Linked DNA regions of Caenorhabditis elegans. The protein of the gene in region 1 interacts with the protein of each later gene in a biochemical or structural test. Each region holds a gene or a part of one and is shown on either strand. Other genes may lie near its edges.

Evidence for each region. Proteins that work in one complex are often made in the same cells at the same time.
Region 2: the proteins of frpr-8 (region 1) and flp-2 interact in a test that uses a peptide from one of them, tested with the Caenorhabditis elegans proteins (one large-scale study listed by BioGRID).

The regions. Positions count from the first base shown.
Region 1 is NC_003284.9:8,695,615-8,703,942, reverse strand, and holds frpr-8 (G-protein coupled receptors family 1 profile domain-containing protein), read right to left. Parts: upstream 6,127-8,328; coding exon 5,903-6,126; intron 5,025-5,902; coding exon 4,922-5,024; intron 4,635-4,921; coding exon 4,413-4,634; intron 3,409-4,412; coding exon 3,167-3,408; intron 2,835-3,166; coding exon 2,691-2,834; intron 2,198-2,690; coding exon 2,075-2,197; intron 2,027-2,074; coding exon 1,942-2,026; intron 1,787-1,941; coding exon 1,751-1,786; intron 1,247-1,750; coding exon 1,121-1,246; downstream 1-1,120.
Region 2 is NC_003284.9:10,093,930-10,096,926, reverse strand, and holds flp-2 (SPREPIRF-amide), read left to right. Parts: upstream 1-1,702; 5' UTR 1,703-1,771; coding exon 1,772-2,046; intron 2,047-2,252; coding exon 2,253-2,298; 3' UTR 2,299-2,497; downstream 2,498-2,997. Other genes in the region: W07E11.1 (glutamate synthase (NADH)), read right to left, coding at 146-224, 408-560, 907-1,179, 1,238-1,393.

The DNA.
Region 1 (8,328 bases):
TTTCCTTTTCCAGAGGGACAAACTGCTGCTGGCCACGTCCATCGGATTCAAAACACAGTAGCCGGCGGAACCCGCGAGGTGTCCGCATGTGCGCTATACACACTTCTGCTTTACGTCTATTTGAACTGATGTGCACCAGAACGGATATATAAAATATAAATGGGATATTGCTCGCCATTTTTGTGAGAATTTTTTTGCTTTGTCCTTCACGAAAGTAAAAGAATTTTTTTTTTCATCGTGAATTTGATTTTTCAAAAATCCTTTCGAAACTTGACCTACCAATTTTATTGAATATAATATTGACACAGTTTTCAAAGTACAATGGTTCCCTGCACATATCGAGCGGATACACATTTCAGAGTATTGACTGTAACTTGATAAACATTTAAGCTGTGCCTGCAAATTTTATGAGGCATCCCCACCCTGAATTTGATCGAACGATTTGTCCGAATGTATTCATATTCCTAGTAAAAATATTGGGACTGTTGAGTGAGGAAAATCAATGAAAATAATTGAACATATATTATTCCCGATTCCCAAAAGCTTAAAAGATAAACATAAGCATAATTTTGAATAAATAATACTTTTTTTTAAATATACGAGAAATTTACTTTATTGGACCATTGCTGTATTTCACAATGAAATCTTGAGCATTATCATCCAAAAACGTGAATTCAAAAATTGCGGAGAAAATATAAAACTATATAAGTCTGAAATAATCAAACTTGGACTCAATTAACAATTTTCCGAGCAATTTTTAGTGACACTTAAGTAAAACTAGCCAAGCTGAAATGAATTGGTCAAATGTTAGCAACCCAAGAAAATGAATACAAAAGAGATCGCAAGAATCGGGATGATTTTGGAGGGAGATGACCAGTACTACTTTTAGACTAGACAATTTGTAACTAGTAACTTTTGATTATGGCAGGCAGGTGAAAAATAAATATTAGAAACGAAACAAAAAAAAACAAAACAGAAATGAAGCGTTCAATTCATAATGATATTGCAGTTCTTATCAAATAATACATGGTATCGAAAAAATGCTCAAATTAACAAAATCCATGAAGATGTGCAGTAAAGATATATACAGAAACATGATAAAGGTTTGACGTGTTTTCCGTTATGAAGGTGCGCTTTGAAGCGAAAGTCTGTTTTGAGCACTTGTGTAGATTACTGTATCTTTTCGAGCAGGAGCTGCTTGATGTGGTGCACCACTTTGACTCCGTTTACTCCATCGGCGAGAACTCTGAAACACAAATTTTTGAAACTTTATGGAAACTTTATTTTACATACTGTATGTTTGAGTATTATAGTTAATTACTAAAGAAAAAATGGATGTTTCAAATATGAACGTCAAACTTTCGGTAAATTAACAAATTACCAAAACAGTAACGAAACAGCTATATTGTTTAAATATTATTGATGGAAAGATAATTAAACTGTGAAACTTGTTTAAAAAATTTTGTCCGCTTTCCACAGTTATCATATTAAAAAAATTTGCTTCAAATTTATAAACTACTCTATTTAAAACGCATTAACCCCAGTTTCCAATCAGAACAAATTATGTTAGAACCAATATTATCAAGAAATCAAAAAATAAATCAAATAAAAACTCTAAGAGGTTGGAGATTAAGTATATTGGGGAAAATGGGTAAGGTACATGCAAATCAGTCCGGGGAGAAAATGAAACTGCACACGAACTAAATGCGTTTCTAGACAATATTATTTCTATTTTCCACACAAAACTTACCACCGGGTAGGTTATGAAATTCGAAATCGTCATTCGCTGTAATGGTTCTTTTGAAAACAATTTACAAAGCAGTATACCAAAAAGCAAAAGCATAGTAAAGAAATATGAAATTGTTTTCAATTAATCGAGAATGTTCATTAAAGAAGAATAATTAATAATGAATGTACCGATTTACTTTTTTTAAAGCTTACCCTCGCACTTAACAGAGCAGTACTGGCGTCCAAACTAGTTTTCCTCGTCGTACCATCTCTACCATCCCAATCACTGACCATGCTCCTGAATGACAATTTTTAGAAAATTTGAACAATGCAGTGATAGAATTACTGAGGTGGGTACCTTCCAACTTTGAGCCACTCCATCCATCGACTTTGTCGCCCGCAAAGCATGAGGACACACATTTGACGAAATCGGGCTCCGAATAACGAGTAGATCACGATGTTGGAAGCGCTAAAGGTTATTTGTTCATACATACAATTCAAAAACCTTGCCACACTAGGGCTTAAGTTCATTTATTTTTCATTCAATAACTCTATTTGAAAAACGATTCAGCATCATGCACTTCCAATTTTATAACCTCTGTGATATAAAATTGGAAGGTGGTGTTTGGTATAAAATGTTTACTTGTTCATTTTCAAAAGTTTGCGTTGATGTTGAGGATTTTAAACTTTTAGATTGAATGATTTATTTCACCGAACTTGATTCAGACTTCTTTGAAAATTTTTTTGAAATTACTTAGGGTCATTTTCAGTGTTTCAAAGCATCTTAAAATCATGGCAATATTTGGAAAACATTTCGAAAAGACAGATTGAACCCAAAAAGTAACCCGGAAAAGTTTCTTTTTCCATACTAATGTGCTCTCTGCCACTTTCATGTAGAAACCGATTCTAAAGTTTTTCGAGCACACAGCTTCTAACACGTTATAATTACTAAAACTTCTTACCTGTTTAAACAAATTAGCAAATTTCCAATGGGACTCCAAAATCCTAAGCTCACTTCGAACACCGTCTCAGCCAAGTTGTTCACTGCTGCTACTACGTTGAAGATCAAGAAAGTGAGCACCATAGCGATGGCCATAAGAGTGCATCTGAGACTGTTTCTGAACTTGGGAGACAAACTGTTTTCTACTGTTTTTGAATTTTGTCGAATCGAAAAAAAAGAGGGAGAAAAGTTCTGAGCGATAGTTGTTTTCAGATAATAAAAAATAACAAAAACATGCAAAAATCAAAAAAGCTGGTTCGGTTCTTGTAATAAACGTTAGCAGTCCATGCTTGAAATAAGAAAAATAAATAATCATTAAAAAATGTAAATCGATGTATTTGAAAATTTTTAAGAAACTAGAGAACCGAACTTAACATCAAAAAACTGGTGAAACCAAAGTTTAAAAAATAATTAAAAATAAAAATGATAAAACCACACCTCCGATCTTTTTCTTCTTGATTATTTTTTCCTCCTTGCATAGACCTCCGAATCTTATACGCCTTGTGTACAGCCTTTACCACAAACACATTCAGTATAATCATTACTGTCCATGGAATCAATAACAGCGCGATGAGGTACCCAAATGTTACGTAGTACTCTTTGTAGTACTTATTATCCCGCAGAAATGAGGTTCTCAGTCGACCACAGTCATCGTTGGTCAACTCGAAGAACATTGGTGCCTGAAGATGACTTGTATCACGGATAGTCGCCTACTAAACTTATTACGATGTTCCTCAGTTTGCAAAGTAGTACATTAATTTAGAACATTTAGAATAACAATCCATATAGTCTTTTGAATCAGAAAATAACACAAAAAAAGAAACTACCAATGTTGTATTCACAACCTAAAAGTTTTGCGTGGTTCAAGTTGGCCGTAAAATTAAAACAAGATGAAAAAAGGTAGGGATTTTGTATAATTGTACCTAACTCATTTTTTTTAAATTAAATTTTGAGCTAAATATCAGTGCTGTGCGGCTTGCGCCGAGAGCCGACTTTTTTCAAGGGCCGCACAGCACTGCTAAATATTGAAAAATCTCTAAGTTATTCATTGAAACTAGGGGAACCTAAAAAGCGTATTGTAAGTTTTCTAGTGTTTTTGAGTGTACTTTTTTTCAATTTGTAAAATTACAATCTGATGGAAAATAATTTATAAAAAACAGCGATTTTCGAGTTAATATTAAATATTATAAATACTGGAATTTCAAGCTCATCTGCTTTTCCTCCACAGAATTTTTAATTTTGTGATAATGTAAATTACGAATTAATTTTTTTTCAACTTTCATGTTTTCCCCGGTGTCTTAGAAATCAAAGTCAGTAGCTCTTGTGTTTTGATATACACACGCAAATGTATATTTTAAAAATTCTAAAATAAAATTGAACATTTTCACACAGTGATCAACTTATTATCAATGAACAGTGTGCTGACATGTTTAATATTCTGAATGCTTGAATGATTTTAAAACTGGGGTCACAAACTCTAATAGCATTGATGTTTGTTTTCACAAGAAATTTTATTTTAAAAAACCTTTAAACTACAATTATCGTAGCAACAGACTTCCGTAATATGCAAATTTGATATATTATAAAAACATTACTTTAGACCATAATAGTCAGGATACGAAACTTTAAAACGTTGTGTGTATTTCGAAATACAAAATAAAAAATTGACAATTCTTGTACTTACTTTGAACAATATGCTAAAAACCGTAATCGCAATAAGTATTGTTGTTGCTCGGCGCGGTGTGCACCAAATTTTGCTATGAAGCGGATAGTTAACAGCAAGAAATCGATCCACCGTCACTGCAACACATGTCCAGACACTACCACATTGTGCGATATTTGATATGGGTAACGTCCAAGGAGTTGATCTCCAGAAGAAATGACAAACCGCGGTGTCCCCGTGACCCTGAATAGTTTATTTGAATTATTGCTAACATAGTTGTTTTTAGTGGTGTTCTGAAACATTCATATTTCTGGAAACATAAATTATACGCAGTTTCTAAGACATTAGAAAATTATTTCAGACCTTGATGAAACTCGAAGTTTTGAGAAATATTAAATCCCTCTTCAATATCATAAATAACTTTTTTCATTTCTCTTTCCGTGCTATGAGCTTATCGATGAATAAATTGATGGACATTTCTTCATCTCATTACAAATTCCACTGAATATCAACCAGTTATCTACGCTCACCTGCAAAACGCAACCTTGGAGAGGTGAAAAGATCAGAGCACTGAATGAAAGCAGGATAAGATCGAAAACCGATAATCCGGCAAGATATACGTTGAGTGATGATCTGAAGTTAAAAATATTTTGTATTTCTATGTATCCTTATTTGCTCTTTTTTCTTGAAATGAGTATTTGAACAGACTACCAAAGAAAATTAAAACTAAATAAATGGGGAACAATTTGATGTCATTAATTTTTCAAAAAGATTAATACAATCAAAAAAAATCATAAAAATGTCGTCAGTTGTACATGAATTAAAATGTTTATTAAGGGCCAAGAAAATTTGAAATCACTGTTTCAATTGAATTGTGCAGCAAGAACAAATTGAAAGATTTATTTGAATAGTTTTTGATCATTTTTTGAAATGAATAGCAGCCTAAAGCTATAGCTCGTTTTTGACTAATGTGAGGTAAATTTTTATAAATATATAGGCTAATAAATATTTATTTTTAGAACTAAATAGCGTATTTTTATCAGGGAAAAACATTTGGTGTTTCCCTAACTTTATTTTTGATTTACTTGTTGGACAAGACTCCTTCTTTATTCGACAAAAAAGGCAGAAACATAATTTGTGAAAAAAAAAACTGCTATCGTTTTTTTTTCATATAAAAATTATTATTTTCCTGTGAACCATTTGGGGTACAGATATACACGCATCACATATTCATTTTTTTAGAAATAATGATTAAACATATTACCTATCCACGTTACTGTGTTTGTTAGAAGATATAGACGCAGAAAAATGAAAAAGTTTCCCTCGTACACGTTTCCGTAAGCCACGTGACTTCGTCGTCCTTTCTCAAAACGTTCGAAGTCTTTTCGTTGCGGGGAACAGATTTTCTTTGCGTCTCTTATATTTTCTAACTTAAAAAGTGAAGTGGATAGGTAATTCGAATTCAGTCCTTTCTAGATATACTCTCACAAGTACTCTTCAATAAAACGAACCTCATTTGTTTCCTAGTGAACACCACAATGCACATTACCGCAGCGCCGGCTCCCAGCACGCAAATTGTTGGAATGGCAAGCAGGTAAATATATGTGCTAATGTAATCGACCTCCGCAAAATTAGTTGGATAGCTGCATGTTCCTTTTGTACTTCCAGAAAAACCTGGCTGATCCGTAGTGACCAGTGTAGAATTATTAAGAAGCGAAATAACTGTCGAGTTCATAGCCAGAGGCCGAAGTGGTGTGGCACACACTGGAACACGATAAAAATTGGTTTTAGAAAGAAAAAAGGCTCTAACTAAGAGATAATTGAGTTTTGGTTGAAACGAAACAAAAAAGCGAAGACGGAGCAACCAAAGTTCAAAAGTTGAAAAAAAGAAGCAGTGACGTAGGGGTCTATTCAAATTTAACGATTAACATACATCCTTGAAAATGGTATTAGGTGACTAAATTCTTCAATATAAAACTTGTAAAACAAAACGAATATATATGAAACTTCGGAGAAAGTAGGAAGTAAAATTTATGGTATACATACTAACACAAAAATGAACTTGTAATTAGTTTATTCGAGCGAATAATTAAATGAGAACTTTTTTTCAAAATCAGAGTTTTGGTTTGTTAAGAAAAAGAAAGTAAACTAAGATAAGAGTGAAAATTTAAAACAAAAACACATAGTTGACAATTTCAGTAAGATACGTTTTTGTTACTCGTACTTTCAAAAAGTCTAGGAGAAAATACACTTATTTTCGAAAATTTTGAACAAAACCATCCACTAATTTCTTAAGTTTTTCTTTCTTTTCAAAACAAAAAAACAGTTGGATCTTCAAGACTAACTAGTCTTACTTTATTGATGCCTTACAAAATGGCTTCAAAAAAGTGAGTTCTGGTAAATAGTAGGGCATCAATGAAAAGACGAAGCAGAATTGAAATATACTACTAGTCATTTTTATGATGTTCGACTATATATAGTATCAAGAATTTGTGAATAACTACTGAGAAAAAGGGGACTGCATGGTCAGTAATGAATATGTTAGCGGAGAAGTGGAAGCCAAAAAGTCGTGAACGGCTGGTATCATCACGTAGCTTTCACAAAAACAAAGGAGGTTCTTTGAATAAGCAATGATGATTGAAGAAATGTTATTTGATATTTGAAACCTGTTCCAATTACGGGGAATAATAATTTACGAAAACTCACTTTAAATATGATTTGTCAAAATACAAGATTAGTTAAAGAAGTATGGTTTTACTGAGATATTGTACCCAAACCAAAATCAAAGAGCGATAAAGACTTGTTTCTGTTTAGAAAAAGAGTTTGAAAATTGGATTCTTTGTATTTTTAACTTTTATATGTAAAATAATACAATGATAAAATTTTTTCAAACGATTTTGATCAACTTATTCATTCTAATTGTAGATATACTCACTCACCAAAATGAAAAAAAGTTTAAAAAAAAAGAAAATTAACATGATGTCATTGTAATTTCCGGATAAAATATATACTTTAAATTGAAGACTTTGAAGAAAAAATTCATATTTTTTGGCAAGCTCTAGTTGACCATTCACATATTTCATAATTCATAGCTCAAGGACATATTTTTACACTCGTTGTTCAAACGAGCATTTTCTTGGAAAAAACATTCGATGTATTTTTGGAAGATGTATTCACTCTAAGAAAAACAAAAATATCGAAGTTCTAAAAGTGAGCTCTTGATATTCTTGCGTATTCATTTTAGCGGAAAAGTGAGCTTGACTCAGATAGTCATTATGTGCAAAGTTGTGTACGGAAAAATAGTCTTAAAAACTATAACGATAATTATCGAATTAAATTGAAAATGAAGGAAATGGATATGAAAAATACATTCGTGAACTTATAGGAACTGCAAAAAAAGCAAGAGGTGGATTATTCATTTCATACTTATTTAAAACGAATAAATACTAAAAGTGGAAGTAGAAAAAAGTTCACATATCGAATGAATCATGAATGAGAGCAAACGTTGTCTCGGGAAGACTGAGAGCATTTTCAGCTACGAAACCCTCAAACATGGAGTCAGTATCTCACGCGAAAGATCGTCATCGAACCGCGTCGGTCATGGTTCACAAAATGAAAGGAATAACGTAAAGGATATGGGCAAAAATCTATGGACTATCTGAGAAATTAGGGAAATGAGCATAGATGACGGACAATCCGGTTTTTTTGTTGCGGTAAGTTGAAGTAAAATACAATACTATCAATCTGATAGTAAGCTTGATTAGTACTATCCAAACACAAGTTTTAAATTTGATGAACTGACAAGAATATCAGTAACTATTGGGTAGGACTTGGCTCGGAAAACTAGGAATTAGCATTAAAAAAACAAAAACAGGATCAGTTCTGAAAATAAATTTCATATATCCAGCTATTTTAATTCAAAACTAATGGGTCCTGT
Region 2 (2,997 bases), 1.4 Mb from region 1:
CTCAAAACTATCTTTAGCACTTCTCCTAAGTCATTTCCACTCATTCTAGCCACTAATTATCTATCGTCGCCCGCAAAAATTGCAACTTTCTTGAAGATTAGCCCCATCAAAACGTATTTCCTTAACATCCTCATGTTTTTAGTACCTTTCACTCCATATTTGACTGGGTAAGTGATGTCAATTTCCTTTGCTTTCCATCCCTTGTACATAGTTCGTTTGATGACCTGAAATTGCAATACTGAAGATGATAATGATTGATTTGATGCGTCATGAGAAATTCCAACAAGACAAACAAAGGAGGAGTTTGGAGCCAGTTTCAGATAATTGCAAAACTATAAATGCGCTAGCTCTCCTCTGGTTTTTTCATTTGTATGATCTTCTTCCTTGTTTCCCCTTTATGTACCAACCTCCATATCAACCATTGAAAGAACTGGCTGCTCCAAGATGAGCCGACTGGCAAGTTCGGTGTCTGGCTCAAGCATGTTAGACTCAGGTCCAATTGGGCATCTCAACGACATGACGATTTGTTCACGGAAAGGGTCAATTGGTGGGTTGGTGACCTGTAATCAAGTGCTCAATCTGTGTTCACTCTACCAGGAACTTTTCTCACTTTTTAATACATATTTTCATGAACAATTTTTTCTAATTCTTTCACTCGGACGTCATAGTTAAACAAGCTTAGAAATGAAAATACATTTCTCCAAAAAAAGTCGTCGTTCCTCAAAATTACGATTTTGGGCAGTCTTAAGTTTGTTTTTCTAATCAACTACATGGATAGAATAGGAGGAGTATGCGAATGAAGTCAAAACAATTTAATGGCCTCCGACTACTTTTCTAGATTTGAACTTCGAAGAACCGTTGGTTACTCTCTTTACTCATTTTTTCCCATTCTGCTTATGAACCCACCTGGGCGAAGAGTTGCTGGAAATAACTGAACAACAGCGGGCTGTAATCAGACAGACAAGCCAACGCAGCATCATTCCCCATTGACCCGAGAGCTTCCTTCTTCTCCTTGATCATTGGAACTAAGAGCAAGCTGAAAGTGTCATGGGTATAGGCATACAAGGCCAGACGACGGTCAGAGTCTAGATGAACATCCTTTTTCTTCATAAGACCAGGGTTCACCTGCTCCAAATGAAGACGATTAAGGTATTCATTGGTGACGGCACCGTGAGAGAGCTAAAAATTAGTTAAAATTTGTCACAATTCAATTTTTTTTTTGTCTTTTACTACTAACCACATCATCCTTGCGAATCAAGTCCAAGTAGATTCTCGATGCGGAAAGTTGCTTATGAGGTCTTGACAAAGCAATTCTTGTCTTAAGGTCCTCATCGAGCTCGATCTTTTTGAGATGTGTGTCCACAAGGAGCATGCGTCCGGGTTTGAGACGATCCTGTAAAGTACATTGATTATAATTAAAATAACTTATTTATTGCAATTCATTTAATTCCTCTGGAGACTTTTGCGCGTGCTTCACTAGTCTGATCTTTCACGTCTTCACTCAAAATCACCATTTCTACATGATGAGATGTTATTGCGCAACTGCTCTCGCCCAACGCTCTTTGACGCTAGTTCACATTGTAATCCGATCTGTACGAGCTAATGAGCACGCATCACCCACTTTCTCTACATTTCTATCTGCTCTTCGTTTTACTATCTCTTGCCAAAAACGATCTCGTGTGAAAAAGCTCTCCATTTTCAGGTACACACCCGCACACAGAGCTTTCGTCTGACTCATTGTCAGTCGTTGCCAAACCAATTGTCGCAAACCATGCAAGTTTCTGGAATCCTATCTGCTCTTTTCCTCGTCCTTCTCGCCGTCATTGTAAGTCCCTTCCAGTTTGTGCAACCAAAGCGGATACTCCCCATTCCCACTAGTCGGGATCAGTTATTACGTGGCCAACTAGCTTATTTAAAGGGTACTACTGTCGCCCAGCCAGCTGTCAACGACAACACTCTTGGAATTTTCGAAGCTTCAGCAATGGCAAAACGTCTTCGTGGAGAACCCATTCGTTTTGGCAAACGCTCCCCGCGCGAGCCCATTCGGTGAGTATGAGAGATAATTGATGATATGAAGTATATCAAGTAGTTTAAAAGTTTCCGAATTTTTTTCAAAATTTGGAAAAACAACATAAATCAAGCTTAAAACCCAAACACATATTTGGAAACGTCATGTATTCTTACTAGAATCACTTCTTACAAAAATGTTTAATACACTTGCAGATCGATAGAATTTATTTTATTATTTTCAGTTTCGGAAAACGATTCAATCCGCTGCCAGATTACGACTTCCAATAACTCCATCCTATCAATGATTCAATGCACGGTGAACCCCACTACTCAGCCAACATCATATTAGATATTCCAACATTTTCTTCCCATTCTCGTCCTATATTTTGATCCGTACTTTCAATGCAACAACATTTTTTAAACTATGTTTCCTATAACTTCGAATAAAGTGGTTGGGTTCCGCATGGAATAATAGCCCATCTGTTAACCAAGTCTTACGTTTTCTTCGCGAACAAAGGAAACGACTACTGGCACTGAATTTCAGATTTTAGCCAGATTAGGTCAGAAAACGAGGCACACTATTTTCAAGATCAAAATTTTAAAATTCAGTCTTGCTAGTTCTTCAAAGAATTGTTTCGGAAATGTCAATGAGTGCTCATAATTAAACATGTGGAGTGACTTTGGAAGGTGCTAGAATTTCCAAGAAGCTTTGATTTATTAGTTTTCGTTTTAATTTCAAAACACTGTTCAATCTTGAGAACAAGATTAGTTCAACCTACTTAATCATTTCTCGCGTTCTGACAAGTGACGTTTTTGACAAAAAATAATGTTTAATTATTCAAAAACAGAAAATCCCCCCTCCTTAAAGCTCAGTTCATTAATCAGCTTCGCTTCACAAATTCGACAAGGTGGCATCTCAACCAACAGGCACCAATCGGATTCTGTCATTTCTTTCTTTTTTGAGAACAAATGTCTATCTACGTTTTG